4 linked regions of the Alligator mississippiensis genome follow. The protein of the gene in region 1 purifies or fractionates together with the protein of each later gene. This does not show direct contact. Links are inferred from orthologs where the notes say so. Each region holds a gene or a part of one and is shown in the gene's direction. Other genes may lie near its edges. The genes, in order: STAU1, ELAVL1, tubulin alpha-1A chain and DHX9.

Region 1 (7,123 bases):
TGAACTAAAGCTCATTTAATGAGTCTTAGTTCAAAGCACCCCAGTGCCACTTTTCAGCACAGGGATGCTGATACACGTGACGCAAGAGGCTGCTGGAGTGTGGTAATTTCTCTGCTCCCACAGACTCAATTGATTGAGTCTGTTCTGACCCACTGGATTTCCAGCATGTCAGAGCCAGCTCCCTGCATGTCTATAAGAGCCCATGGTTTTGCTACCATAAAGAAAAAGCTTATAGGCTGGGGAAAGCTTTGTCTCCTACAAATCTTAATTATCCCTATTTTACATTTGTTCAGTGTCATGGAGCTGCTTTTGTTTGGTACACATCCATAGGAACCTTTCATCACTTCCACGAACAATTGGTCAATTGTCAGCTGCTGTTGTAGTTTTCACCTTTGCAATATCCTTTGAAAGAAGGATCCTGGTCTCAAAGGGCGTGCCCAGACGAGTGCGCACACGTGTTTCCCTGGGGACAAATAGCAGCATCACATAGTTGTGCCGCTGCTACTTGTTTCCAGGGAATGTCCACGCATGCACACTGTGGTGCGTGGCAGGTTGCCCCAGGTGGGGTAGGGGAGGCTGGGGTCAGGTCTTAGGGGCCTCCCAGGGCTCCAGCAGCAGAGATCCAGCATGTGGAGCCTGGCCAGCAGCTGGAGTGTGGCTCCACCTGGGCAGGCTTGTTTCGGGCAGCGCATGCTGCCACTAAGGCTGTGCGAAGCTTTGGTCCTTGATTCAACTCGGTGGAGATTTGGCCTGATTTGCTGGCCGAATCTCTGAATTCGAATTGGATCAGAGGACCCTGTAATCTCTCCAAATCCAATCAGAACCCTCCAAATCAATTTGGAGAGATTTGGTGATTCGAACGTAGACACAGCTTTAGATGTTTTTTCTACATACCTCTAGGTAGCAGGGGCTCATGAGTGCTGAGATGCTGGGGCGCATGGAGTGTCCCACCAAAGTGCGGGGGGAAGGGGTCCCAGTGTGCTCAGCAGCAGACCCAGAAGTGGACCAGAAGCACTTCCACCCACTTCTGGGTCCACTGGAGAGCGCACAGCCCCCCCCCCACTGCTCGGCGACTGATGCCTCCAGGGTCATCGGGGAAGGGGGGGTGGTGCCCAGGGTCCACCCGTGGCTGATCACTGAGCCAGGGGGGTGGGGGGCGCAGGGGGCCCCTGGCACACTCTCTAGTGGACCCAGAAGTGGACTACAGTACTTCTGGTCCACTTCCAGGTTCGCCGCTGAGCATGTGGAGGGCCCCACGCACTCCTGTCGGATGCTCCATGTGCCCCAGCATTGCAGCATTCACAGGCAGCGCCTGGTACCTTGAAGTGTGTAGAAAAACATTTAAAGCTGTGTTTATGGCCAAATTCCTGATTCTCTGAATCAGCATTGAACCTTCAGATTTGGATTTGGCCGAATCAAATCAGGGACAGTGATCTGAATCAACTAATCGAATCACTGTCCCCAGCTCAGGCTGAATCAGAATCTGAATCAAATAGGGCCTGCTTCACACACCCCTCCCTAACTGCCACCACACGTGTCATCCTGCTTTTTTCAGCTGTGGGTTTTTTACCACCAGGATCTCTGATGTCAAATTAGCAGCATGGTGAATGCCTGCATATGTAGTACATGCGGTTTCCAGTGCCACAGATGGGTCTGCGGCACCATATACCACGTGTGTGCTCGTCTGGATGTGCCCAGACTCAATCTAGTATAGCAAATGTAAAATTACTTGAGGTTATGGATTTTTGCCTTGATATGCAGAAATATGAAGTTTAGAAGTTATGTTCTGCTTAAAATCTGCAAAATCAATAGATTCATAATTCTTTTTTTATCTGCTAGCAAGCTAATATTTAATTAATATGACTGAATTTATTCCATGTGGTTAATTCAAGAGGGTATGGTTTAAATGTTAATTTACAAGAAATACTCAAGCCAAGGTTTGTCAGTGGCAATTAGTTAATGGCAGCTTCTTTGATTTTTTTTCAGCTATTGAAGACCAATACAAATTAAAAACACATATGCAAACCAGACAAAGATACAGCTGCTTGGACCATTTTTACATTCCAAAATTCAGATTCCTTTGACTTAAACAAAATAAGTTCTGAGTGTATAAAACACAAATGGATGTCTCATTAAGCCGCTGTCATCACTTGAGTGTCCAACTTGTATTTTTTTTGTCTTTTATCTACCCAACAGCAGTTGACTCTTTCTAACAAATGGCAGTACTTATAACTTGTGTGTGTATCTTCAGTGTGATCACACTTCTTTCATTTTGGAATTCAATGGGCTTTAAAAGAAAAATTAATCTTTCAGAGTGATTCTTTGGTTATTCAGTATTTGAATTTGCTAGAACATCAAAAATGAGGTCTAAGACTATGCAAAGACCTCTGAGTGTGTGCGCTGAAGACTAGATCTTTTCAGAGAGCACACAGCACAGCAGCTGCTACTTGATCATCTTAAACACAGCAAATCCCTACGTTAAACTCCCAGAACTGAACTGTTACGTTTCTTGTTTACTTCAGGCTATATTCGCTACTAAAATGCATGCATTTCTAAGCAGAAACCTGGTGTTTTAAATAAAATTATTCCACTAAGCCAGAAAGGAAGGGGGGAAAAGAAATTTACTGCTGTAAGGAAGAGCTTCTTTAAAGTAAGGGGACCAGAATCTGGAGTGGACTTCCCAAGGAGGTGGTGCAGTCCCCAACCTTGGAAGTCTTCAAGAAGAGACTGGGCAGACACCTTACTGGGATCATTTGATCTCAGCAGTATTCCTGCCCAGAGCAGAGGGGTTGGACTTGATGATCTTTTAAGGTCCCTTCCAGCCCTTAATTTCAATGATGATGATGATGATGATAAAGTGTTTACTACAGGAGCATTTTCATTCCAAAAAGCATAATTACAGTAGTGTTAGAACAGTGATTCTGTGCAACCCCCCCGAGCTAGGCCACCTTGAGATCCTTTGAGGAGCGAGCGCTGCAGACTGCCACGCAGCGTTAGCACAATTAGGCGTGCAAACATGATTCACAAGATGAACCTAGTTTTCAAACATGAATCTGTTGTGTTCAAAAATACATTTTGCCCTGGTGTGGTCTGACTTCTTAGCAGCAGCAAGATTGCTCTGGCATTTTTTGTGTAGTCAAGAAACAAGCAAAACCTAAAAGCTGGCATTTTCCAAAGGGTGCCTCAAATCTATGGAGAGGGGCGAGTCTAAAAATAGGTATACAAGCACTGTAGTCCCGATCATCCAGGAATTGCCAGAGAGGCAAGGATTTTTGGGGGTGGTGTCTTTTAAGATCCAGCTCATCCAAAGCTAGACAAGCTTCCCCACAAAAGGCATTCTTCATCAGATCACTTTTTGCATTAAAAAAAAAATTGTCTAACTTGATCCCAACTCTTGCCCAAGTACAGCTCTTGCTCCGAAGCTGTAGCGCGAGCGATGCCCCCTACACCCGAGGATCTCTTGTCGGGAAACTCTTTACACAGGAAGAAGAGCACACAAGCATCCTTATCTCCATCTGCAAGAGAAGACTTGTCCACCTGTGCGGGGAGCTTTAATGAGAGCACCGCCGCGTCTCGTGTATCAGCATGCCCGTGTTTGAACACGGTTTCCAGCGAGCACTAGTTCACACGCCCCTGCTGCCACGACGGGTGGTGATCCAAGAGGCTGCTGGAGCGCAGCAACCACGGCGCTCCCGGAGGCTCGAGTCGTGGCTCCGCAGCGGTGGAAGTCGCCGCACACCTGCAACCCGAGCGGGCGGGAGCAGCCTCGCGCCACGCCGGCGCCCGCAGGCCACAGCCCGGCCCCTGGGGGAGGCTTCGAAGCCTCGCGGCTGCACGTGGCCCTCCCAGCAGACTGCAGTGCATGCTGGGAGCCGTAGTCCCGCCCCCGCAGTGGAACGGAGGCATGCGGGCGCCGCGGCACGCCGGGACTTGTAGTCCGCCGAGGGGGGGCGGGGCCCGGAGCCGGTCCGCCGCGCGATTGGCTGCGCCTGGCCCGGGGGGCGGGGCGGCGGGCCGCGGCGGCCGTCCCGGTTGGCTGCCCGGCGCCCCCTGGCGCTGTGCCGTCACTTCCTCCCCGGCCGGAGCTGGCCCCGCTCATTCTCTTTAGTGTTTGCCCTGTGCCCGCCGCCTCCCTCCGCACCGCGAGCCGCCCCCCGGCCCCGGCCCCGGCCCTGGCCCCGGCCCATGGACTGAGCCGCCCGCCCGCCCGCCCGCCCGCAGCGCCGCCGGCCGGGAGCCGCAGCCCAGGTCGCAGGTGAGCGGGGGGCGGCTCTGGGCCTAGCGGGGCTGCGGCGGCGGCTGCCCCGGGCCCGGCGGGGGGGCGGGCGGGCGGGCGGGGCCGCGCGCTGTCGGCGGGACTCGGCCCGGGGCGGGGGGCGCGGCGGCCCCGGGCTCCCCCAGCGCTCCCCGGCGCCCTCGGCTCCTCCCCGCCCAACGCGTCGGGAGGCCGGGGAGCAACAGGTCCCGCCGCCCCGGGGGCTCCTGCTCCTCTGCCCGCCGAGCCTCGGGCCTGGCCCCAGGGCCCCTGCTCCCCGCGTGCGTCTGAGGGGCCTTCGTGGAGAGACACCGGCTCCGGTGGCCGCCGAGCCGTGTTGGTGCGCTGGTGCCGACTCCACACGTGCGTCGGGTGCGCTGTTTGCTTTGGGGGCAGAGGGGCTGCGCGGCTCCCTCCCCTGCCCTGTGGTTTTCTACTTTCTCCTCCGCTCCCCCGTTAGCACGTGGCGTTTCACGGGGGTCGTAGGAGCGTTACAGCAGCCACCCCCCTGTTCGGGAGGCCGTCCGGACGTGTGTCGTGCCGGCTTGGGTGTCTTAACCTCGGTGGTTATCCCACAAAGTTGAGCTACTGTCAGACTGGCCGGTATCTGCGCCGCGGCCGTGCGGTCGCCGCGGGGTTGGGGCGCAGTCGAAAAAGCGTGGGGGACGTCGCTGATATTATGGAGGAACAAAAATTCCAGCCTTTGGAGATCTCGGTTGTAAAGCCCCGTGTTCACTGGCGTATCGAGCAGCCGTGACAATGGTTTGTCTGTCTGGAACAAACGATTCTAAAAAAGGAGTTCGTTTGGCCCTTAACTGCACTTTCGGTAGTTGCCTTGACAACTTTCCTTTAGATGTGTCAGTGTTAGTATTTATGTTGATTATTGTGGTGGATGAGGCCGAGAGAGAAGACATACGATTTATTTCTATGTTAATTGAAATTGTTAGCCTTGAGTGTATTATCAAACCGTGGTGTGGTTTAGCAAAGTAAACTATATTTAATTTAAAATATGTCGTGATGTCAACTACCCAAGTTTTACTGTAGCGTTTAAGTGTTTATCTCAATCCTTGGCCTTAATTGTGTTGCCTCTGTTGGGTTTCATACTTGTATTGCGTGCTTCCAACACCTGATATCCTCATCTGCCAGGTCTCTGTTCTGCAGAGCCCTTCTTAAAATCTACTTAGAATTTTTGTCAGCTGCTTTTTTTTTATCATTAATCCTTTGCACCTTCTTTCCTGATTTGTTTTGTGGTTTTGTCCTATTCACAGTGTTTCCTGCCCTGCAGAGTTCACTTCTTATCTGCATTCATGAAGCATCACGTAAATTATCAGCTGTATACATTTTGAGCGTCTCTCATAAATACTAGCTTAGAGATGTTCCTTGGCTAATCAAGATCTTGTCAGAGACACCTATTTCCTTTTTAAAAGTTTGTCCAAGGATGAAACCTTGCTCAACTGAAATGTTTTTGCATTTTTGTAACTCATTTTGGTCTATAATTGGCAGATAAAGAACTAGCACCTTTTTGTGGCAACTGTTTAAACCTTTCTGTAGCAAATATGTGATTATTTTGCTTTAACATTATAGAAGTTAATCTAGATATTAACGTTAGCGCAGATTTGTACTGTGGTTGGTTATTGGATATATTGGGAAATGAGCCCTCTCTGCAAAAATGATTATTAATTTTGGAAGAACAATTCCATATTTCCATAAACATTAGGGAGGCTCAGGAGTGAAGGGCAGCAAGCATAACTATTAGTCCTTATTATTTAAATATCTGTTAAAACCATGTTTCTAATCTGTATCTTTTTTTTTTCTGCTTAACTGCCTGATCTTCCTCAACCTGAAGAAAGGGGACCTGGATACTTGTCAAATTCACTGCAGCTAGGAAGTTACAAGGCTCATGTGTTTTCCAAATAGCAGTGGGAAAGGGAAAACTTTTGAGCAGACAACATGCTGGGATGATTGACTGGGGTGAAAGAGTCCACAAGTGGACCTGAAGTAAGGGTTAAAGCAAAGGGTAGAATTGTAGGATCCTCTTTTACAGTCAGGATGCTTTTTAGGAGACAAAGGGAGGAGTTTCATATTAGCTCTGGTTTGTAAGAAATACACTTGAGAAAATAATAGGCAGTCACCAGCAATGAAGTTAGAAATGGGCAATAATGACAAATGGTCGTTGGATAAATTCCCAAATGTAGCGTACTGCTACATCTTATGCATGTTTGATGTATTGTCCCTGACAGACTCGAATATGATTTCTTTATGCATTGATAAGCATTGAATAGTTTTTTCATGCCATTAAGATATTCAGTTAATGAGAGATGGAAGCCCCAAATAGATTCAGAAATGGCATTTTGGCATGAATTGCCACACCCTTTGTTTTGCAGGAGCTTATAGTATTGTAGCTGGGTTTCAGGTCCTCTAGAACCGCAGAGGTCCCTGTTGTGCCTCGGACATCTTGCAGGATGCCATGCAGGTCAGTGAGTGCTAGCTCCACAAAGGCACTTGTGCCTGATGGTGATGCTCAGATATCATCAGTTACTTTTAGGTGCTTGGCCATGACAGTGGAGGCCACAGCCCTAAGTTAGGTTCCTATGTTTATACTAAGGGATGCGAGGCAGTCGGGTACGATTCACAACGGCCAGCATGAAGAAACCACAAGTTAACGAGTTAGAAGGTGCTGAAGAGGCAGGTGTATCTGCTATCCCACTTTTTTCTTGAACTCAGTAGCTCTTGATTCAGTACGCAGGTGAGATTGAGGTTCACAGGTATAATCCCTGAGAAGGGTTTTGACATGTAAGTCATCCCACTTTGAGGCTGGAAGGTGGCTGACATTTCTTATAAGAGACCCGGTGATAGGACCTCTTTATT
Region 2 (7,483 bases), on another chromosome or scaffold:
GAGTGCAGTGGGAGGGAGGAGAATAAGGGAGAGAAACATCATTCAGAAAAGCAATAAAACATGCAGCCCGAGGGAACCCTGGAAAAGGCAAGATGACAGCGGCCAGGGTGCGCTCCCGGGCTGAAACAGAGGATTCTTTTGGGGGGGATGTAGTGGAGGGCAAAGAAATCCAGGAAGAGCACGGGAGCAAATCCTCATAGGCAGCAAGCCTAGGGAGACACGGAGAGGACCGACGGTGCTGGAGCATGACGCAGGCACCGAAATCCGCTCTCCAGGGATGATGGAGAAGAAGGGATCCGGCAGGTGTAGCCTCCAGCCTCGGTGCGGAAGAAGCCGGGAGCCCCAGCGGCTGCGGGGACCGAGGCATCCCGGCGCGGGACGGAGGGCACCCGAGGGGCGGGGAAGGAGGCAGGGGGAGGACGACGACAAGTAGAGCCGCGGAGGCAGCGGGCGGGCAGCAGGAAGCGGGCACCGCGGCCGGGCTCTGAGGAGGAGGCGGGGAGCGGCGCAGGCGGACGAGGAGCCACGGGCGCTCGGCAGGGGCGGGTCAATCTCGCCCCGGGCTTCCCCGCGCGGCTCGCCGCTGCGCCCCACACCCACCTCCCGCCACCCGGGCCGGCCCCGAGCAAAGCAGCGGGGCGGAGCTGGGGCGCGGCCCCGTTACCTGTACTGCGGCCCGGCGGCGCCGTGAGGGAAGCTGTAGTAGTTGCTGGCCGCCATCTTGGCGTCCTCACAGCCCGGCAGCGCACGAGGCCACGTGACTCCGAGCGGGCCCCGCCCCCCGCGCGTGCGGCCGGAAGCGTGGTCACGTGGGGCCCTGCGCGGTGGCGCAAGCCCGGCTCGTCACGCGGCCGCTTGGCGCCCCCTGGCGGCTTCCCCGGGCGGCGGTCCCTGCGCGCCCAGCCGCATGGGAGCCTGTCCTGTCCCCGCCGCACCCGATAGAAACCGGCGGGAGAGCTCTCGAGCAGCGGCTTCATGACTGGTTGCCTCTTTCTACAGCTGGATAGACATTTTGATGGTGTGATAAGGACTTTTTGCATGCGTGGGAGGACCAGATTTATTGCACGATTAACTGGTTAATTGCATGATAATTAGTGTGCACTTGTGGCCTGTCTAAATTTACTGTGCGAGTAACTCGTTAATTGTGCAATGCATGTAACATGGAGCAGGGCCCTAGAGCTCTGCCCAGCATCGTTTCAATGTGAAGCCAGTGTGCATCTTCCAGTGCACTGCACTTTCCAAAGACAGACAAGTTTCTTTGAATAAATCTGGTATCTTTTATTACACCAACTCAGTTGGGCTTATAAAAAATACCAAATTTACCCAAATAACTTTGTCTGCCTATGTTCTTAGACCAACACGGCTACGACCAACACCCCTTTCACTCTCCAGTGTTACAGCCTCATTACCCAGTCTTAAACGTCATGGTGTTGCTGAAGTGTCATAGGAACATGACAAGGAAAGGACCTTCTGGTTCCAGTGCCAGGCTACGTTCAGGCATCCATGTCAAATAATCCTATGAATAGGTTGATCAAGGCTCAAGAAAATCCTCCACATCAAATGGGAAGACAGCCACACAAACACCAATATTTTTGCTGAAACCAGTTACCAGCCACGAGCTGGCGATCCTCAAGCACCAGCCGTGCTGAATTGGATGTGTGCAGATGTCTGACTCCTGACTCCCAAAACAAGTGCTCTACTCCCAGTTTAGCTATAGCCTGAGCTCTTGTGGCCAGAGGAAATGGTACCAGGACACATTCAAGGCAGACCACAAGAAAACAGATGCCAACATCAAGAGCTGGGAAAAGCTGGGTGCCAACTCACTCCAATGGCACTGGAACCTCAACCAAGTGGCAGCCAATTCTGAGGTAAAACGCCTTGCTCTCAAAGCACGGGAGAGAGAGCAGGGGAAGGAAAATGAGTGAAATCCCAGCGTACATCCAACTCCGCCCTGCAGAAAGACCTGCAACTTCTGTGGACGGATCTGTGGCTCAAGGATTGAACACTTATGTCAACTCAAGATCCATCAGTAAGATGTGGTAAAGATCATCCTCAAATCAAGGGATTGCCAACAACATTCATCAAGCTCCATTTTAAAACTAGTTAGGTATTTTGCCTCCACTACTCATATTGGAAGGCTCTTCTAGAATCTCACTCTGATGCTTATAAGTCTTCTAATTTCCAGCCTAAATTTATTCAAGCCACACTGTCCCCATTTGTTATTATGCCAACCTTGTCCATTACCTTAAACAGCTCCCTTCCCTTCCTAAATTCTCCTATAATGTATTTATAGAGAGCAGTCATGTTCTCAATTTTCTTAAAATATCAATACAATATGATTTAATTGCACCAAAAATAATTCATGCTCCATATGCCAACATACTAGACTCAATGTGTTTTATGATGTGCTAAATGTCACCACACTGCATCATCATGGTAGCACTGTGCCAATGAGCATCACATTTTTTGATTCCATATCATAATGCAACATGAAAGCACTACACAGATGTGTCAGTATGTTGAATCAAAACATCATGACAGATCTAAGACACTGCAGTAATATAACACCACACTTTAAAAAAAGCATAAATCAAAAGTGCTGCTGCTTCAAATCATCACAACTTTACACAACAACGGTTTTCTTGCACTGCAACTGAATATATGCTTGTGTTATGAAGTGATGCCATGGCATAAAAATGTCACGTGGTAAAACAGGACAAAGACTCAGTATGGCCTCACTCTGAGCTGAAGTTTGGACTTCAAGGGCTCAGAGGGTTTTGGAGACTGAAAGGGTTTTAAGACACCCATGACCTTTCTAGAGACAGTTGTGAGGATTAAACTCAGTATTATTTGAGAAAACCCAAGACTGGTGATAACAGAAGGCTGCCATCATATGAGTGAGAAAACTGTAACATGATAGCTGGCAAACAGCAAATTCAGGCGATGGCAGGTGTCCAAATATCTTCAGTATTTTCACAAAGCCTCTATATCAGGATCAGCCAGGTTTGAAATGTACATCATGTGGAGCCTTCCCAAGGTAACCGTGAGGAAGAAGAGTCAGGCTAATGTAATGTCATGGCTTCCCTCCCCTAATGGTTAGTCTTTTTTACTAAAGCTGGTATGAAGCTGCCTCTCAATACTTTCTACATGATCAGGTGTCCCCCCAGCCTGTGACAGAGATGGGGCTGCTCCAAATGCCAGTGTCATGTCCGCAAACTGGAAATTAGAATAGCCCCAAATTTACGGGCCATTAGAACATGACTAGTTGAATAGGATTCACTGGGCAACCAGCAAACTAAGTATTCATGAGTCCAGAAGTGCCAAACAAAACCATTGGCATTAATAAAGTTGAAATCTATTAAAACTCAAGATGGCTTGAAGAAAATTATTTGCATTTTCAGTTTCTGATTTTTCATGTATTCCAAAATAATGACAATTTATGGGCAGTCCACATACAGATACAGGGATGGATGACAGCAAACACATCTGTATGTGTGATCATATCACCTCAATTGTATACCTTTGGCAGATCCAAATTTACCTGCATTCCACCAAAAAGCGTTAGCTCACATTTACAGCTGCGACGTATATTATTATTAAATACAGAATCATACATTTGCGCTTGCGTAACATTTACTGTAAAGAAAAATATCTCACAAAAATTGAAGAAAAAATCATTTTCTGATGTCCTTTATCTTGAGTTTTATCCTGTCCATTTCTTTACGTCAAGGAAGAGCATTTCCAGGCATTTTCCTTTTTAGATTTCAACCCGTACTGCCTTATTGTGCTGAAAATAGCAGCCACGGAGAGTGAGGGGCGTTTCGTTCCATCCCTGCAGATGGAAGTGGGATTGAATGCTTGACGGGAAGGGACGTGGAAGGGATTTTACAAACCCGCCCCTATGAAAAATGGATTGTTTGGGGCGCCCATGGATTATCTCTGGCCAAAAATGTCCTTTTGTTTGACAGAGAGGAAGGGCCAACAAGTGTGAATGGTGCCAACTACCACCCCCAAGCTGGGCCTTGCTGCTCGTCACCACTACAACGCGTGTCTCCTGCCCTCCAGGCCCTGCGGGCAAACCTCCCGCGATGCCAACCCCAGCCCCGCAGGAAAGAAACCCTGGCGCCTGCAAGGCCGTTCCGCCGGCTCCACCTCGCACTTTGCCTCACGAGGTGGACAAGGAAGAGGTGCCTCGTCCAGCCCCCACGGAGCGCTGACACCAGGGGCTCCCGGGCGCGCTGGTGCCCCGCGAGGCCGGCGGGGGTGCTGCACGCAGCCCAGGGAACGATGCGGCCTGGCCTAGCGAGGAAGCCCCGCGGGGCAAGTCTCCGCCCGCCCGCGCCGGGGATGGAGGGAGGACTGAGGATGGGGGACTCCGGACCCCCTCCCCCCCACCGGGAGGTTCCGCCTCCGGTCCGCAAGTGACGGGCGGGCGGCCGCTCCAATGGCTCCTCTGGCACGTGGGCCGCGCAGCCAATGGGGCTCGGCGGGCGGGGCGGGGGCGTGGCCAGCGGCGCTGCGAGCGGCTTGTTGTGCGCTGCGGAGCCGTTCGTGCTGCTTCCAGGCCCCGCCGGAGTCCTGACGGGTGAGGCAGGCGGGCGGCCCGGGCGGGTGCGCGCGCGGGAGGCCGGTGCTGAGGCGCGGGGGCAGCCGGGCCGGGCCTGCCACCGCCGCCGCTGGGGGAGCAGCGGGACGCGACGGGCGGCGCGGCCTGCGCCTGGGCCTGGGGCGGCGGAGCCGGGGCCTGGGGCGGCGGCGGGCGCGCGGCAGGGCCCGGCGCTGCGGGGAGCGGAGCGAGGCGCGGGCCGGCCGAGGCCTGCCTGGGGCCTGCTGCGCTTGCGCGGGCGCCGCGGGAAGGCGCCGTGCCGCGGCGGCGACTCGCTGCTTTTTGTCCCCATCGCGCTTCTGCCCTGAGCCGCCCCCGGCCCGGCCCGGCCCGGCCCGGCCCGGCCCGGCCCGGCCCAGAGCAGAGCGGCGCGGCGCGGCGCGGCGCCGGGCGGGGTTTGTCCGGGCGGGCGAGCCTGGCGCGCGGCTCCCTCGTGCGAGGCCGGGGGGCCGGGCACCGGCGGGGAGGCACGTGTGCGGGAGGAGGCGGGATGTCCGTGTAGGCCCCGCGGATCGCAATGGAGAGAAAGAAACGGCAGAGCACAGCATCACCGGCGGACTCGAGCACGGCCTGTTTTCCCGGGTGTTGCTGCTGCTGGCACAGGCGGTCACTGGTTGTGCTGGGGCTTGTCACCCCTCCTTCTCCTCTTCCATCTACCTGCCCTAACGGGTGGTGGCTTCCGATTTTCTAGGCAGAGTTGATTTTGACTTCAAACGGCTTCATCCTCGCCGCCCGCTCGCACCTTTCCGTCCGCTCCGGTTTTGACGACTTCTAGCTTCTCTGACCAGACTTGCCGTGGCTGTGGCATTTCCCTGTCTAGCCTGGCTGTCTCTGGTGTTTTGTTTTGGGGTGTCCCACTGCCATTTCAAGCTGTTTCTCTAAAACTGAACTGCTTTGGGTGTTGGTGCTATTGGTCCGTACGCCCTGCGTTCCATGTGTGGGGATGGCAGCAGTCTGTTCAAAATATAATCCTTTCTGTGTGCACCAACAGTTGTACTTTTATTGTGTTCTTTGCGTGACCTTTTACTGTACTCCTCTGACCCTCTTTTGCTTTTTTTGGCAAGACCTTGTTGTTTCTTTTTTAACTTAAGCTTAGCCTGTATTATTGGTTTGTCCTTATCTTGGTCACTTCTCACCTTTACCTGTGGTAGCAACTTATTTAGTCTCCTGTTCTTTTCTCTCTTCTCTCACCAACTGCACTAGTTACTGCTGCATATATTTGCCTTTTCTGTAACTATATTTTGAGTCTGATCTGTGGTTTCCTGTCTCCGTGCACATAAAATGCATGAATTAGGCACATAATCATCATTGAAATCTCTGTGCAGCCTTTCCTCTTCCATCGCTACATTAAATCTACTTTGTTTCCCATCTTCTTGCCTTATTCCTTTGGGGCTTTGTTTTTCTCCCCTCCCCTCATTTTGAATTTTTATACCTTCTGTTACTTTTACTTTCTGCAGCTAAACTGACCACCTTGTCTCCGTCTATAGAACCATGCCCCTTTTCTTTTAAAGCCTGTCCCTTGAAAGCAAGTTCACCAGCCTGTGCCCTCTTTTTTCCGCAGGGGTGATGGTTTTTACGTAGCTATCTGATTTCAGGTGCAAGGCCTTCTGGGGTAAAGCTATCTTATAACACGTTAGTAGGACTGAAATGAAGGTTGTATCAAAACAAACATTTAGTTTTGAGAGACCTTTATTGTCTCTGAGGCTCAGACTATTTGGTAGTTATAGAAAACTTTTACAGCTTGTTCATGCTTGGAAATGTCCCAAAGCAGGTATTCTGAAACAGCTGTTTATGTACATTTTGTAGTGTAGATAAATTGTAAAAATAGAAGTCATTCTGAGTTTCCCTCTAACTTTGAGGGTTTCAATCTACTGGCATATGGAATTCCAGGATAAGATAAATTTTTCCTTTCTGAAATTTAAGTTGGGTAGCTCTCCTGTGTCTTGGAACTTAGGGGTGCATGACCTTAGTATGTAGAAGCACCAGGGTGTTGGTGCTACTCATGTATGTACATGTGGGGAGAGTTGTATCATTGGATTTAACTGATGTGTACAAAACCTATTAAAAAAGTTATTGCCTTTAACTTGTTTCAGGTATACCGTAAAAGTTAGGACTGTGATAATGTTCACTGACTCTGGTCCCTCCTTGTTTTATAAAAGGAGAAAGGGTTAAGTTACAATTCCTTTCTTTCCTTGGTCTTCTGAGGAGAGGGTTAGGAAGCTCCACTCTCTACTCAGTCTGGTGGTTAACAGGCCATCTTCTAGAGACTGAACAAGCTGGCATCTCCATTCTGTTCTGCTTTTGCTTGCTGTCACCTTCTCTGTACATTACAAATCCGATCAACAGCACTTGATCTACTGAAATGAGAGTGTAGACAACAGCCAATTCTTGGCTCTGTACAGCTGGGAATTACAGTTCTTGCCAGAGGTGGGTCTGAGGACCCCATGGTCCACATCTGGCCCAGGAAGCCAAACCAGTTTGATACCCTTGGCTTAGACCATGATTGCAGAATTCCAAGCTGGTCCCATGTACTCTCGTTACTCAGAGGGGATTTGGGGAGAGTGCCGTGACCTTTCATCTGTTGAAACAGCTTTGGAGAGGTAAGGATGGCATTTATGGTAGCTTCCATTCTGTCCCTTGTCCTGGCCCTTAGTGTTGTTAATTCCACTCTGAATGAACTGGTTGTAATTTGTCTCACTGCTGGCAAAATTAAGAAAAACATTCTTCTCCAGGGCAGTTATCTTTGTTTGCTAAGCTAAAGATTACGTGTCAGACCCGGAAACTGATAGAGGTTTCAGCCTTCTTGTAACCTTTCTGGAGGGGGTGGTATAAGCATTTACATGGTAGAAAAATAAAGCTGAGTGTATAAGAATGATA
Region 3 (7,885 bases), on another chromosome or scaffold:
AGACAGAGCCAGGGCCCAGCTCTACCCTAGGGGAGCTGGTCACTCAGGGACTTGCCCCAGAACTAACTTTGGCCCTCAGCATCTCCCTGCTGTGTCCATGCAGGGCCTTACCCTGGAGTGGCTGCTCTGGATTAGTGCTAGCATGAGCGTGTGCCTGGACACCACCCTGGCCCTGAGGCCCCGTGTCCCTGTGCCAGCCTGCGCTGTGTGACCGGGGTGAGATGCCCCAGAGCCACAGGGAATGGGTTTCCTGCTCCCTCAGCCCTATGGCAGCCAGAAAGGAGGCCTTCCCAGTGAGCCCCGCTATGCCCAGCTCTTTTCCACCCAGGAAGGGGGTCACTGAAGCCCAGGAGGGAGCAGGCTCTTCCCACCTCCCCACCCGGTCCCTAGCCTGCAGCTGGAAACCCCCCCACCAAGGCAGGCAGCCAGGCTCAGCTCAGACCACAGGCTCCAGCTGTCTTGGGGAGAAGGGCAGGGGATGGCCAGGGAAGGGCCAGCTGAAGAACCAGGGCCAGCTGAGCCACCAGGCTCCTCCCTCCGTGCCATGGGCGTCCGCGCCTGCCGCAGCCGGGGAAGGGGGAGAGGCAGGAGGAGGAGAGACAAAGAGCGGAGAGTGCTGCGCTGGCAGGCGGAGCCCATCTCCCTGCCCCCTCCAGCTCCCGGCATGGGAACCAGCCTGGAGGGGCCCTCGGTCACCCCCCATCAGCAGGCCCCCCCCTCGCATTGGCGCACCAGGACGGGGCTGTCTGTGCCAGGGCCCCACCCTGTTTCTCTCCTGCCTCCTGGGGGGACCCAGGGGTCATCCTCAGCTGAGCCTTGGTGGAGGCTGAACGCGGACAGGATGCACGTATCCAGAATGCCCTGCACCCACTGCTGTCCTGCCAGCCCCACCCTGCTCATCTGCCGTCCATGTGCTTGCGCGTGCTTTGAACACGCCGGGCCGCCTTCCCAGCCGTGCCGCAGCTTGCTGAGCCGCTCCACGCGTGTTTGCAGCGGTGGGGCGTGGTGCTGGTGTAGTGAGGCCAGAGTCCTTCCCTCCCCAGGGTCATCCCAGCTGCATCCCAGGGACGCTCCCACGCTCCCCTCCTCTCTGTCCTGCCATCTCCTCCCCGCCAAGGCAGTCCTGGCACCGTAACAGCTCCAGCTGCTCCCAGGCTGGCCGGCTCTCATGCTCCTTCTATGGGAGGGGAAGCAGAGAAGGGCAATTACTGAGGCACATCCAGGCCAAGCCCCTTGCCGGCCCCTGTCCAGGCTGCAGGCTTCCCTGATGCACTCAGCACCCTGCTGCTGCAGCCCTTTGAGCTGGGAGGAGACAGGACAAGGAGGGCCCACAGCACAGGGGTCCTCTGGATGGCAGGAGGGAGGGCAGGGGGTGCCCCACCTGGGACAGATGAGATGCAGACCCCCAGGACTGAGAGACAATCCCCTCTCCTGCATGGCGTTTTGTGCTGCTGCAGCCCCCAGACAGGCAGCTGATGGCCCAGGCTGCCTCCCCGCCCCCACGCCGGAGAGGGAAGCCATGTGTCCTTCCGGCCGGTCGGCAGCTGGGACGCCCATCTGGTGCCAGGGTCCAGAGCCTGTATGCGCTGGGGGAGAAATTCCTCCCCCCAGGGCTTGGAAAGGCACAAAGGATTGCTGCAAAGGGGATCGCCCATCTGTGCCTAGCCAGGGAAGTTGCTTGCTGGGCTGGGCTTGTCCAAGCCCAGATTCCTGGGTCCTCAGGCTGCAGCAGGCAAAGCCAGGACCCCCTTTCTCCATCTGTCCTTGGGCATTCCTGTGGTTAGGGGCAAAGTGGGGGGTCAGACCTGCACCCGCAGGGGACCAAGACAGGGGCGCACAGGGCACCCTGCACTCAGCTCCTGGGGGTCCCCGGGGCCCAGCTCCGCCCCCACCCTCCCAATGCTGCTTGTTTGGCTGCCTCATGGCCGTTGGAAGGGGCTGGCTCTCAACCGCCGGATGCCTCCTCCCCTGCCCGGGATCGCTGTGCGAGGCCTGGCTACCGGCAAACACAGCCGGGGAGGCCCAGCAACAGTCTCCTAGAGCTGCCTCGTTGCTACCAACAATCAACAGAGGCTGGTGCAGGAGAGGCCACCCCACAGCCAGGGACCGAGTGGTGGGGAGCAGCTCTGGTGTAGTGAGTGTCCCGGGCAGCAGCCTGCAGGATGGGGCTGTGCTGAGCACCCCCGCCAGGGCCTCAGTCCCTTCCTAGCTGAGAGTGGCCCTGCCCAGCCCCTGGAGCTGCTCTACCCTGGGCCTGAAGCTTGAGGCCGTCACTGGCAGCTCCTGTGGGCAGGGGGACCACGGACACAGGGCTGACACCCATGCTCAGGCGTGGGCAGCAGGACCCTGGCAGGACGACGCAGGGCTGACATGCATGCCTGGGCGCGGGGCAGTGGTGGATTAGCACAGCTTTGCAGCCCTGAGTGTCTCGCCCTGTCGGCCTGCCCCACTCCTCTTGCCCCAGGGAACCAGGAAGGGACCCCGTCACCTTCCAGGGTCCCCTCTCTGCCCCACCGTCCCCTACCCCCTCCCTCCCTGGCGCAGCAGGCAGCGGCTTTCCGCAGGCCACGTGATGGGCAAGGTGATAAAGGAAGAGCGAATGCCACCAGGGCCTCCTGTTCCAGCTCTTAGCAACCAGCTCGTTGCCTAGCAGCGGTTGGGGGGGAAGGACTCTGCCTCGCATACCTAATGAGGCTGTGAGCCTAGAGCCACAGAGACCCTCCATGGATCTCCAGAGCCTCTGGCTCCATCCCGCACCCGCCCCTTGGGGCTTGGACCTATGATGCAGGCTCTATATTCAGCCTCATGCCCCCCCCGATGATGAACAAGGGGTATGGTCTCTGCAGGGGGAAACTGAGGCATGCAGTGGTGACCTCACTCCTGCCACATCATGGTGCAAGGGCAGGGCAGGGTTTGGATGCAGGTGTCCGAGTCCCCTGCTCTGACCTCTGCTTTTTCCTTCCTCCCAGAGCAGGAGTCCAGCTGCCCAGGCCCCTTCCCGTGGGGGAAACCAGGGCCAGCCACAGCCACCATCCCCCAGGGGCTTCGCCCAAGGGTGACAGGAGGGGCTGGGGACAGGCAGCTGCGGAGGGTAGGGGGGTCAGTGTGGACCCTGGCTCGGGGCCCCAGCCAGGCCCGGCCTTGACTCCTGCTTCCAGCACTTCTCAGCTCTGTGCCTTCCCCCTCTTCCAAACACCCCTTGTCCAATTGCTGATGGCAATGCCCAGGCTGGGACCTTGGCAGGCATCCGCTGCCCCCAGCAGGATGTGACCCTGGGAGCAGATGGGACCAACGATCAGGATGCGAGTATCCAAAGCAGAGCGTACGAGGGTGAAAACAAAGCTGGAGCCGTTTCCTGCCCCATGCAGGCAGCTGGAGGAGGGGGCTGGTGCCTGCAGAGCTGAGCTCCCGACCTGTCCCTGCCCCCTCTTAAGAGGGCATGGAGCATCCAGGGGCCCCATGCTCAGGCCGGGGCAGCACTGCTCCAAGTCCTTCTCTCTGCCCCTGTGCCCAGGCAGGGAGGCAGGGGCTGGGTACAGGCTAGGGGCTGCCTCCACATACTCCAGCGGGGCTAGACAGAGCCAAAAGCCCCACCTGGTCACAGGGCTCGGGCCAATTCCTGCCTCTGGCTCCCTTGTCCCAGCCGTGTCCTCAGCACAGCTCCATGGCACAGGATGTCTGACCCAGCTGAAGCCTTGAAGGAGCTGTCCGGGGCCTCATTCCTTGGTGCCCGGATCCCGGTATCTCAGCAGCTTCACAGTGGATGGGAGATGGGGTTAGGGCTGAGTCCAGGTCTTCCTCAGCCCTCAGTTCTGGGACAAAGGAGCCCAGGCTTTGTGTGCTTGCAGCTGGAGAGCACTGGGGACAGACACCTCTGGGGTGCCAGAGCCCAGGAATAACCTGGGGGGTGGGAACCGAAGGGAGCTCGGGACTAGCAGGGAGGGGCCCGGAGTGGAAGGCAAAGTGCCAGTGCTGGGAGCAGCCAGGGCAGGGAATGGGGTCTGGGGGCCACGCCCAGGACAATGGGGCTCTTCTCCTGGCTCTGCCCAGGCAGAAAATGGGGCCTGGGGGCTGCACCCAGGACAAAGGGAACCATCCCCTGGCTCAGCCCAGGCAGAAAATGGGGTCTGGGGGCCATGCCCAGGACAAAGGGGACCATCCCTTGGCTCAGCCCAGGCAGAAAATGGGGTCTGGAGGCTGCTCAGGACAGAAAATCTGGTCTGGGGGCCACGCCCAGGACAAAGGGGACCATCCCCTGGCTCAGCCCAGGCAGGAAACGGGGTCTGGGGGCTGCTCAGGACAGAAAATCTGGTCTGGGGGCTGCGCCCAGGACAAAGGGGACCATCCCCTGGCTCAGCCCAGGCAGGAAATGGGGTCTGGGAGCCGTGCCCAGGATAAAGGGCCCTTCCCCTGGCTCAGCCCAGCTGCTCCCTGCTCCCCCCAGCCCCTGTCGGCAGCTGCGGTGCAGGGCGTGGTGGTGCCCCGGATCCCGCAGGCAGGGGCAAGGGGGGGGCACAGCCGCTGCACAGCGGGTACCAAGCCCCCCCACCCCTTCTCCCGCACAAAGGAGCCCTGCCCCCCGGCTCTGGAGCAGGTGGGTTTCCAGCCCGGGCCGGGGGGGCTCACAGAGCTGTCCGAGGGCAGCCCCCGACGTGCGGGCGGGGTGCGGATGCGGGGCACGGCCCCGCCCGCTGCCTTTGTCTGAGGATGCCCCCGGCTCCGGGATGCTGGGGGGGGGGGATGACCTCATCCCATCCGCCGCGCACCAATCAGCGCCGCCCTCCCCGGGCGGCCCGCGGCGGCTGGACCAACCGCAGAAGCCCCCGCCCGTCCCCATGGCGACGGGGATGTATATAGGCGCGGGGCGGGGGCCGCGCCACGAGTTCTCTTACATCGACCCCATAAGAGTCGCGCTGTAAGAAGCCGCCTCCTCTCCCGGCCTCTTCGCCAGCAGCAGCATGGTAAGGGCCGGCAGGTCCCCCCGGCTCCGCGCTGCGCCGGACCGGTCCCAGCTGCCGCCCCCGTCCCGTGCCCCGGGCGCTCCGGTCCGTGCGGGGGAGCCGCGCCCTTGCCTGGACGGGGCGGCCGCAGCCCCAGATGCGGGGCAGGGGGGCGCGGGTCCACAAAGCCCCGAGGCGGGGCCGGGAGCGGCGCCGGGCTGGTCCTTTGTTCCATTGATGCGCGGCGGGAGGGAGCTGGCGAGGCCGCCGATGAGATCATGCTGGAAGCGGCCGGAGCCAGCGCAGCCGCGGGCGGGGCCGGGCGAGGGCTGCCTGGGCCCGCACGGGGGTGGCGTCGGGGAGGGGGCGAGGGGCAGCGCGTGGGGAGAGCCGGGAGAACCCAGCTGGTTCTCGGAGGGGCTGAGCGGGGGGCTCCCAGCTGCTCCCGCTGGGACCCGGAAGAACAATGGGGCGGGCGATGCTGAGCTGCAGGGTGACACCCCGCCATGGGTCCTGGGGGAGAGCTGGGTGTGGCCGCACCCGCGGGTGACAGTCCCCTGGCACCTCCCCGGTGGGGCCCCCCACCCTGTTGGCAGTGCTGGGGGACTGGCTCCTTGCAAGACGCTCCCCAGCAATGGCTGCGCTGGCTGCATGCCCTGCAAAGGCTGCCGCTAGCTTGGTCTGTGCCACGCCCACATGCGACGGGGACCATGATGGCTCCCACGTTGGGGCGCTGCAAGGGCAGAGGCGGGTGTGAAGCAGAAAGCTCCAACCGCAGCGTGGACCCAGTGCATGCCGCTGCCAGGCTAATGGCTTCTCTTCTCCGGCTTTTCTCCGCAGCGCGAGTGCATCTCCATCCACGTGGGCCAGGCCGGCGTCCAGATTGGCAATGCCTGCTGGGAGCTGTACTGCCTGGAGCATGGCATCCAGCCCGATGGGCAGATGCCCAGTGACAAGACGATTGGTGGGGGTGACGACTCCTTCAACACCTTCTTCAGCGAGACCGGAGCTGGCAAGCATGTGCCCAGGGCTGTCTTTGTGGACCTGGAGCCCACCGTCATAGGTGAGTGTGCAGCCCCCACCCCAGACATACACAGGCTTCCCCATCTTCCTGTGCTCAGGTGAGCCCCTGCATGAGGCCCGTGCCTGGGCAGGGACATGCGGCACTCTGCTCATGGGCTCCTGCCTCCCCTCTCCCCAGATGAAGTGCGCACTGGCACCTACCGCCAGCTCTTCCACCCTGAGCAGCTGATCACAGGCAAGGAGGATGCCGCCAACAACTATGCCCGTGGGCACTACACCATCGGCAAGGAAATCATCGACCTGGTGCTGGACCGCATCCGCAAGCTGGTATGCATCAGTTCTCTTGCAGGGGGGTTAGGCAGGGGCAAGGACAAGGGAGTCTTATGGATGACGGGGCGCATGTGTGCGTGCACGTATATGTATATATTTAATCTCCAGTCTCTCTTACTTTATGTTTCTTTCTTGGTTCTCTTCCCAGCAGGCTCCTTTCCCACTGGCTGGTCCAAGGCTGTTAACCAAACACACGCACTAGCTATAAAGTCTATAGCCCAACATGCACTTATGTAGATTTCTTTCTTTAATATTCATAATAAAATTTAGCAAACAAGCTGAGGATCATTTGCCTTTTCCTATTATTATTATTATTATTATTATTATTATTATTTCTGATTTGGGCCAAGCTACATTTAGATGGAAAGTGATATTCAATTTAAAAATGACAGGGAAGGCATTTTGAAATGGTATTGGCTAAGAAAACTGCCTTCCGTAGTCTGGATCCATGAGAAGAAGCTGCCTTTTTTTCAAGAATATATTTTTAAAATACTATTTATTTAACAAAGGAAGTGTTATGTGGAGTTTGAATCCAGTTACAATGGAAGGCATTTATAATTAGTAACTCTACTCCCTAGACCACATTAATTCATAGATTAGGAGCTGTATAAGCAGGAAAGCTAGTTCTTTTGTTTAAATCCTGAATAGGTCAGAGAAGCAACTTGCTGTACTGAGTGCACTGAAACTGCCTCTGTCTGTGCAGAAGAGGCAGCTGCTGTTACAAGCTGGGTTAGACCCATCACATTCCTGTCCCAGGGATGTCCACCAGTTCCCTAAGGTGACCTTCTCGCACTTTGGCTGCTGAAGCACCAAGTCTTTCAAATGGGAAAGGAGGGCCTAGCAGCGCTCCAAATGTCATTCAACATGCACCTCTGACAACCGTGTTTGCCTACAATTATAGCATTCTCTGTACTTATTTAAAATGACCTTATCAGCCCTGGCAGCTAATGCGTGGCCACATTTCTTATTCTATGGCAAATAAACTCCGGCAGCGTAGAGCAGTGTCCCAGGTGGGTGGGTTGAGCTGGGAACACTGCAGAGTAAGAGGAAGAATTTTTTAGGCAAGGAAAGAAGAGAACTCGCATTCCTGCCTTCCTGCTCCTTGGAAACCAACTTCTTCCAACAGGACAGCTGGATAATGGAGCTATTGTTTCCTTTGTCTCTCCTCTCCGACAGGCTGACCAGTGCACCGGGCTCCAGGGCTTCCTGGTCTTCCACAGCTTCGGGGGAGGCACCGGCTCCGGCTTCACCTCCCTGCTGATGGAGCGCCTGTCTGTGGACTACGGCAAGAAGTCCAAGCTGGAGTTCTCCATCTACCCGGCCCCGCAGGTCTCCACAGCTGTGGTGGAGCCCTACAACTCCATCCTGACCACCCACACCACGCTGGAGCACTCGGACTGTGCCTTCATGGTGGACAACGAGGCCATCTACGACATCTGCCGCCGCAACCTGGACATCGAGCGCCCCACCTACACCAACCTGAACAGGCTGATTGGCCAGATCGTGTCGTCCATCACCGCCTCGCTGCGCTTCGACGGGGCCCTGAACGTAGATCTGACGGAGTTCCAGACCAACCTGGTGCCCTACCCCCG
Region 4 (7,852 bases), on another chromosome or scaffold:
GGTGGTTATTCTAGCCTGCAGCTGGAAGAGGTTGCCTACTAGGGCTGTGTGAAGCTTCAGTAACTGATTTGATTCGGCCCGATTTGGCAGCCGAATCTCCAAATCTGAATCGAATCGGGAGGCCCATTAAAAGGTCCAAATTGTATTGGCGAGATTTGGAGATTTGGAAGGCTTGCAGTTTTTGTGATATGAGTTTTGCTTTCAACAGTTTTGAGGTGCACTTTCACAGATACCCTTGCACCTATCTCCTTGAAACTTGGCAGGCTCCGTGCCCTAAGAGCTGCTAGCATCCCTGCTGTTTTCATCCAAATATGTAAAATAATTACAAAGTTATAGGTATTTTAGTGATTTCCCATTATAGTCTAACAGAGCAAGGAATAGCCCAATTCCTTTGTTGCTACAGAGTTGCGAGTACAGGGGGAAGTTGGGTCAGGGACAGGGCAAGGATAATTACTTAATAGACACAGTTGGGAGAGGGATCGCATCAGAGAGGTATTTCACCTGATTAAGGGCCAGCAACTACTAAAGACCACAGCCAGAGGGCTATTCTTTTCCCCCTGGGGCAGAGCATGAGAAGAATCTGTGGGGAAAGCCAGGAGCAGCAAACCCAGTGCTGGAGCAGATTGCTGATTAGACCGGCTGACCAGGTGAAGGTAACCATGGCAGCCAGCAAAACAAAGAGGTGAGAGAGGGGAGACGTTTACCAGGTGGATCCTCAGGTGGAGAGACAGTCCCACGGAGGAAGAATCCACTGATACCTGCAAGCAGGGTTGTCCCTGGAGGGGGGGGGCGCACAAATTGGGGAGATTGCCCCAGGCCCTGCACTTTGGAGGGCCCTGCAGACAGTGCCTGCTGCAGTTGCTGTGCACTGCCAGCTCCGCCATGGCAGCTGCACACCACCATCCCCCTGCTTCAGCTGCTGGCCACCCCCCACTCCCCCCCAACCTCCTACTTACCACCCCCCAGCCCCGCACACCCCTAGGGATGTCTCTGCCTACAAGGGAAAGAGAGAGAGAGAAACTGGAGGTGAGCTGACAGGCTTAGGGGGAGTGGGTTGCACTGTGGTGAAGGGAGAAGGAAGACTGCAGGCTGTGATAATGGCTGGGATTACCCAGATCCTGCTGGGAATTCACTAATAAACCAATTTACTTTTATGCTGCTTCTGAGGTGAATTACTATGCCCTCTTTTGCTGGGGAATTAACTTCTTATTTTCCCATTTACATCAAGGCATGGGAGGTGAGTTGCAGGGAGGGAGATTTTGTTAGTCAATCCCACCTGGCCACATAGTCTACGGCCGAATCTCTGAATCAGCATCGAATCTCTGAATCCGAATCACTGTCCCTCCGAATCAGCTGAATCTGAATTCAAGTGAATACTTGCTGCTTTGCACATGCCTATTGCCTACCCCTGCTCTAATGATTGAATATGCTGCCCTCTTCCTTTCTTCCAGTACATACTAGCCAAAGCAGCCATGGAGTTGCAGCAGGAATTGACCCAGGGGTTTCTATAAAGCAGTAGAGAGCACTACCACTAAGTTTTTTTGAGAATGTCATGTATTTTAAGGTTAAGGAGTTCCATTATACATACTGGACCTAATTCTCCACTGCCTTTTACCTTGCGTAGTTATGTATACTATGATAAAGCACTATGGTAAAGTTTAATGTAAAGTGCTATCCATCTCTGTGTACAAGAATTCTGGCAGCATTTTTCACATTTCCTTGACTTGGTCTTCTTTGGGTGTAAGTCTTGCTTTCTAATTGCAGAACACAAACTTAGAAGCCAAGGTAGAGTTAGATGGTTGACTAGACTTTTCCAAAGATGTATAAGAAATTTAAATAAGCTTTCTTTTCAGTCAGACATGGAAAGGGAGATGATCTCCCCATCAGCCAATGAGTATGTGCATCTGCACCGAGTTCTTGTGCTACCATTCCTTTGAGAGAGACTGCAGAGCGCCAGCCTTCCAGGGTTCTAGGTAGAAGTATGCCCATGTACACTCCCAGCCAGAGCTATTCTAGGAAAATTTCTAGAATGTTTTCCCCAAGGCTTTTATTTTGTTACTTTTAGGATTATTTCTAATGAGAATGAAATCTTGTTACTGCTGTTCTAATGATGTTTACAAAACAAGACACTTTTTAAATAATAGGTAATATAGAAATAACCTATCTAAATATGTGATCTTCAAATGAGTAACTTCTATTTGTTTTGATAATCAACAAAGCTACCAAATTATTAAACTGGGTTTCTTCATGAACTTTTTTGTGTAACATTTTGATTATATTTCTGTGGGTTCTGGGGATCATAAACACATTCTTAAAAATAGTTGCATCACTGTTTTCTTTCTGCTTTGGAAAAATGCCCTTTGTGAGGCAGTAGAGGGGCAGGTGCCACTCTACTGGGAATTGATTTCTTTCTTTTTTAAAGAAGTTAGTAATTGTTTTTACTTTTGTTGCAATTTGGGATGAAAACAAATGTTAAGATATTGAAACTTTTCCTGCCGGATTGAAATCCTAAATTGTGTTTACCTCTGCTTAATACATCCTAGTGGCTGGTGCTAGGGCTTGCCAACCCAAGCTGCCCTGGTTCTGTTTTTGCCCCTTCATCTTCAATTTTGACCAAAAAACCCTACACAAAACACAAAAGAATTGGTAATTTTATGCCTGAGCATCTAAAATCAATCCAACCAGAAATACAGTATGAGAGGCACAGCCAGGAATTGTATATCCAGGATACACTTTTATTTTTTTACCTAAAAATGGCAAAGAGTCAAAAGTAGTTTCCATTAATTGTTCCTTTTAGCATAGCAGCCTTCCTATCTATCTCTGTCTCTTCTTTAATAGCAAGGGTGTTACTATTGTTGTTTAGTTCTCTAAAATGCCTAGCTATCTAGATAAACTACTGTGTGTTCCTTGCATAGTGAGGCTAATATGGTTAGCCAGAATGGTTTGCATGTGCCATTGTGCTGGAAAACTAAAGTTAGCATTAGTATATTTAAGTTCTGTTCTCTCAAATGTTGGTTTTTTTGTGGTTATTTCCCCTTCTCTATATGGATCCTGGCCTTCCAGGTGCTGAGTTTCCTGGATTGGGATCAAATAAGCCCTTAAGCACATACTCCACTTTAAAATGAGATGGTCACTTCGACTAAAAAAGGACTATTCAGATACTTGAAGTTAACTATATACAGTATTACTTTGGATCCAGGTGTTGAGTGCTCAAGACTTTGCAGAATTGACTGAAAATTGACACTGGACTTTCACAGGACTTTTACTCTGTGCAAGAAAATGAGAAATCTAAGCTTAGGAAGCAAGTCCCAGCTTTTCTTATGTTCCCTGGTTTATAATAAAACCCAACTTTGTTCTGGGTATAATTCTGCTAACCACCCAATTGCATTACCTTAAACCACACCAACTTTTTATCTCAGCTTCGGGTAGCACAGTGGTGTCAAATACATCTGGTCTTTCAGGCCAAGCGATTGATGCACAACCAACCCACAGACTAGCTGAACTGCATGGGGATGGCCACACAGGCCAGATCAAGCCCACGGACCCTCCCCTACATGCCAGATCCTAGCACCCATGGTGCTCACTCCAGCCAGTCTGGGGCCTGGAAGGAAGAGGCCCAGCGACCTGCCATGGGAACAAGCTATGATACTGCTGGGACTCCAATGCCATGGGTCCTGCCCAGGCATTTGCGTGTTACCAGGAAAAGGTCTCCAGGCCAGATTTGGCTTGTGGGCTATAGTATGTTTGACACTCCTGGAGCAGCAGAAGGGTAAGGCGGCAATAGTAACTTATTCACAACTACTTTTCATACTTCTTCCGTTTCTAGTCCAGCTCCTAGTACAAGCTAGAGCAGCACTTTAACTTGTCCTGGCTAATGTGGTCTCTGCGTAGTAAGTCATGGCACAGCTTCTGTGCCCCCTAGTGCATTCCCCTGCACCTCTTCATCTGCCTGTAGTCTCAGTCCTGGCACTCCTAGACAGTATGATTACATACAGCTGTAACACTTGGTTTTGTTTTTGCATCATGTAAAAGTGACCAATGCCTATTTAACAGCTGAGCTGTCCCCTTTTTTGGCTACTTTGATGTACAAGGAAAACCTCAAGTTTTATTTTTTTAGATTTTAAATTCCTTAATTTTTTTTTTAATTTTACAAAATCAACAATGTACATCTGCTCTTCCTAGGCCTTGCTCCAACACTAGCTGGAAGCTCTCACAGTACAGTTATTGTGAGCCCTACCCCCTGTATGACAGATGCATGTTGAGTCTTTAGCAGAGGCTTACTTTATTTGCTTACTCATTGGAGTTAAAGCAGCAAGAGCTTTAAACAGGCTAATATAAAGACCCTTCACTCCCAGTGGTTTATCTCTGGCCCTTATGGAATCTGCATGACGCGAGTGCTCCTGTCCTCGCAGGGGCCTCCTGCATAGATAGGTGAGCTGGCCATCTATCTGCCCAGGAAGAAAGATGCAGCCAGGAGGACCCCTGGTGACTGGGGGGGCCATCTTTCTGTCCCTCATCCATGCACATCTCCAGGCAGTTTCACCAGCTCCTTGGATTCGTTGGAGAGCCAGTGGGTGCTGGGTGGTGCATGCTGCTCCGTGTCCCCCCACAGAGCACTCGCTGTTAGTCTATGACCCTCGCTCTTGTCTGTTTGCTTTAGTTGTCCCAAGGACTCTGCTGGCGAACGCTTACTAGCACCCTCCAAAAACAGGGTAAGCGTTTCTGTGCTGACTAGTGCGTGGTGGACCCGGCGCTAGCTGCGAGTCACGCAGGCCCCCGGCCGCTGGGGGCGCTGCCCCGCCCCGCCCCTCGGGCCGGCTCCACCACTCTGCTCAGTGCGCATGCGTCCAGCGGGCGCCATTTTGCGGGGGTCGGTGGGCCGCGCGTCTCACCTGTGACAGCGGCCGGGCTGGGAAATAACGACGCAGGTCAGCGGCTGCAAAGCGTAGCTCCGGGCGGAATGGGGCGGTGCTAGTGCGCAGTCGCCGCCGGGCTCCGTCCCACCTGGAAGCTGCCTTTGCGAGGGCTGGGAGGGGCGCGCTGCTGTGGCAGCTGCTAACTGTCGCGTGTGCCCGCAGGGCGGCCCCGCCATGGGGGACGTGAAGAACTTCCTGTACGCCTGGTGTGGCAAGAGGAAGGTGACGCCGGCCTACGAGATCCGCGCCGCTGGCAACAAGAACCGGCAGAAGTTCCAGTGCGAGGTGCGGCGGGGCGGGGCGTCGTGCGGCGGCTGCTGCTGCTGCTGCTGCTGCTCCCGCGCGCTGTGGGGGCGGGGCTTTGAGGGGAGAGTGGGGCCTGGGTGTGGGCGGGGCTGCCGCGGGGCAGGTAGCCGGGCTCCCGGGGAAGTGCAGGGGCTGTGTGAGGAAAGACGCACCCGTGGTGGTGTAGGCCGGGCATTGGAGCGCAGTCCCACAGACAAGTTCAGTGGCGTACCGAGGGTCTCTGGCACCTGGGGCCCCATGCTTACATTTGCGCCCCCACCTCCGTCGCAGAACGGGAGGGAGGGGTCCCCTAGCAGCCTATGGCAGAGCCCACACCCACCCGCCCACCCCCTGTGCCGGAAGCAAGCCCCCCAATAAAAGATATCGTGCACACACACACAACCTGTACCACAAGCAAGCCCCCCCCCCCCCGCCCCAAAGATATCACACAGCCCTGTACTGGAAGCAAGCCCCCCCCAGTAAAAGATAATCACACACACATACAGCTGTACTGGAAGCAACACCCCCCCCCAATAAAAGATATCACACACACACCCCTGTACGGAAGCAAGCCCCCCCCCAAAAGATATCATGCACACACACAGCTGTCTGCCCTCTCCCTGGAGCTGTCCACGGCTCAGTTTCACTCCCCCTCCGAGCCCCCTTTACACTTATGTGCATGGAGCTGCTGCTTGGCTGTCCCGAGCAGCCCTGCAGATGCAGAGGGCCAAGCTGGACTGGACCCGGTGGGGAGCACGGTCACCACACCATGTCTCTGCAGGCAGGCAGTGGCCCTGTGGGGGAGTAGTTCAGACACAGAGAGGAGCCAACTTGAATTTTGGGGGTTTCTAACCCCCAAGGCCCTCCCAGTGCCATGGCCCACAGAGGTGCAATGTGGCAGGGTGCTCCTGGCCTGGCTGGCCTGGTTCCAACTGCCCAGCCCACCCCGCTCCAGGTAAGGCGTGACTCGCCCAGCCCAGCCCTCTCCCTACCAGACAGCGCCACTCAGCCCACAGATGTAGCACAGCTTTTTAGGCAAGACCCCAGTCCTGCCTCCTCTCCTCCAGCCCTATTGGTGGAGGAGGAGCCCTGCTTCCGTCTCACAGGGAAGCAAACGTGAAAACCGCAGTTTTAAACTTGGTGCCAGATATGGGCACTGAGTTTAAACTGTGGCTTTCGCTTCCCTGCTGGTGAGGATCCCAGGACTCCGAATTGGAATGGGCCCCTGGGCACGTGTGCCCAGTTTGCCCGTGCATTAATCTGCCTATGACCTGGCCAGCACCACCCCACCAGGCCTGTGCCCAGGGGCCATGGCCTCCCCCTTGGTGCATCACCTGAGCGCAGGGGACAGCTGAGGTGAAAACAGGGATGGGAAAGAGGCCTCAGGTTTAAAAGTGCTCCAAGGGGTAGACCCTGAGCAGAGCATGCCAGGCAGTGCCCACTGGCCCCTGAATAAATCCAGGGAACCAGTGGATGCTGCCTGGTGATACTCTGCCTCGAGACAGGAAAGTACAAGGGCATGGGAAGTGGCTCCACAGTTCCTGAGGACCCTTCTGGCCAGAGCCCCCTTCCTGGTGAGGTATACTGTCAGTTTGGCCAGGGCCAGAAGAAGGTTGTCCAGAAGGTTCTGGGACTAGGTAGGGCCATGGATGGGGAGTGCGTAAATAAACAGGTGAGGGGAGAAGTGCAGCCAGAACCTCAGTAAGACATTCTGGAGGAGGCAGTACAAGGGCTGTAGCTCCATCTCACCCAGCTCGCGGAAGGGCCTGTGGGAAATAGGCCTATTTGTCACCCTTTAAAACGTGAGCCCAGCCCACCAAGTCTCTCATTGGCTTCCCTTAGGCAGGGAAGCTACAGGAAAAACGGACAGCATATTTCTTGGAGCAAATAATGAAAAAACAGAGAAGGAAGTGCCACTCAGTTTCAAAACAAACATGCCGAGTGGGGACACTGAACAGAGCACACCAAACAGCACCCACTGGCCCTCAAATGAGTCCAAGGAGCCAGCAGGCACTGCCTGCTGATACTTTGCTTGGAGACAGGAGTAAAGCAGGGCAAGGAAAGCAGTCCCCAGGGACCCTCCCAGCCAGAGCCGCATTCCTTGTCAGATACACAGCCAGCTCGGCCAGGGCTAGGAGGAGGTTGACCAGGAGGTTCTGGGACTTGGTAGGGCCATGGACAGGGAGCACTTAAATAAACAGGTGAGGGAAGAAGTGCAGCTAGAACCTCAGCAAGAGGTTCTGGAGGAGGCAGTACAGGGGCTACAGCCATGTCTCTTCCTGCTCACAGAAGGGCCTGTGGGAAATGGGAGACTGGGCAAGACAGACCTATGATTTGACCCAGTAAAGGGCAGTGCTTATGTATGTGTGCGGCCATATATATGTAATGAAAGAAGCAGTCACCAGTGAGGTCTAGTATGTGTCAGATGTACGAGAGGATTTGGTGACCCTGTTGTTTTGCTGGGAAGTGGGTAAAGATAAGCTGTTCTTTCCTTTGTGTGGTGTGAAGCGTTGTACCAGCCTCATAGATTCATAGATGTTAGGGTTGGAAGGGACCTCAATAGATCATCGAGTCCGACCCCCTGCATAGGCAGGAAAGAGTGCTGGGTCTAGATGACCCCAGCTAGATGCATATCCAACCTCCTCTTGAAG

What was found.
Region 2: the proteins of STAU1 (region 1) and ELAVL1 purify together in Homo sapiens (affinity purification with mass spectrometry; 3 studies listed by BioGRID, with this or other methods). This does not show direct contact. The link is inferred for Alligator mississippiensis from reciprocal best matches to the Homo sapiens genes STAU1 and ELAVL1.
Region 3: the proteins of STAU1 (region 1) and tubulin alpha-1A chain purify together in Homo sapiens (affinity purification with western blotting; 3 studies listed by BioGRID and IntAct, with this or other methods). This does not show direct contact. The link is inferred for Alligator mississippiensis from reciprocal best matches to the Homo sapiens genes STAU1 and TUBA1A.
Region 4: the proteins of STAU1 (region 1) and DHX9 purify together in Homo sapiens (affinity purification with mass spectrometry; 6 studies listed by BioGRID and IntAct, with this or other methods). This does not show direct contact. The link is inferred for Alligator mississippiensis from reciprocal best matches to the Homo sapiens genes STAU1 and DHX9.

What each region holds. Positions count from the first base shown.
Region 1 is NC_081832.1:14,183,212-14,190,334, reverse strand, and holds the start of STAU1 (double-stranded RNA-binding protein Staufen homolog 1), read left to right. Parts: upstream 1-4,120; 5' UTR 4,121-4,255; intron 4,256-7,123. UniProt on the Homo sapiens protein: Binds double-stranded RNA (regardless of the sequence) and tubulin.
Region 2 is NC_081839.1:9,483,557-9,491,039, forward strand, and holds the start of ELAVL1 (ELAV-like protein 1), read left to right. Parts: upstream 1-4,477; 5' UTR 4,478-4,585; intron 4,586-7,483. Other genes in the region: ZFR2 (zinc finger RNA-binding protein 2), read right to left, coding at 665-720. UniProt on the Homo sapiens protein: RNA-binding protein that binds to the 3'-UTR region of mRNAs and increases their stability.
Region 3 is NC_081838.1:6,695,821-6,703,705, reverse strand, and holds the start of tubulin alpha-1A chain, read left to right. Parts: upstream 1-4,871; 5' UTR 4,872-4,958; coding exon 4,959-4,961; intron 4,962-5,780; coding exon 5,781-6,003; intron 6,004-6,141; coding exon 6,142-6,290; intron 6,291-7,469; coding exon 7,470-7,885. UniProt on the Homo sapiens protein: Tubulin is the major constituent of microtubules, a cylinder consisting of laterally associated linear protofilaments composed of alpha- and beta-tubulin heterodimers.
Region 4 is NC_081828.1:53,695,496-53,703,347, forward strand, and holds the start of DHX9 (ATP-dependent RNA helicase A), read left to right. Parts: upstream 1-4,848; 5' UTR 4,849-4,928; exon of another isoform or gene 4,929-5,078; 5' UTR 5,079-5,090; coding exon 5,091-5,201; intron 5,202-7,852. UniProt on the Homo sapiens protein: Multifunctional ATP-dependent nucleic acid helicase that unwinds DNA and RNA in a 3' to 5' direction and that plays important roles in many processes, such as DNA replication, transcriptional activation, post-transcriptional RNA regulation, mRNA translation and RNA-mediated gene silencing.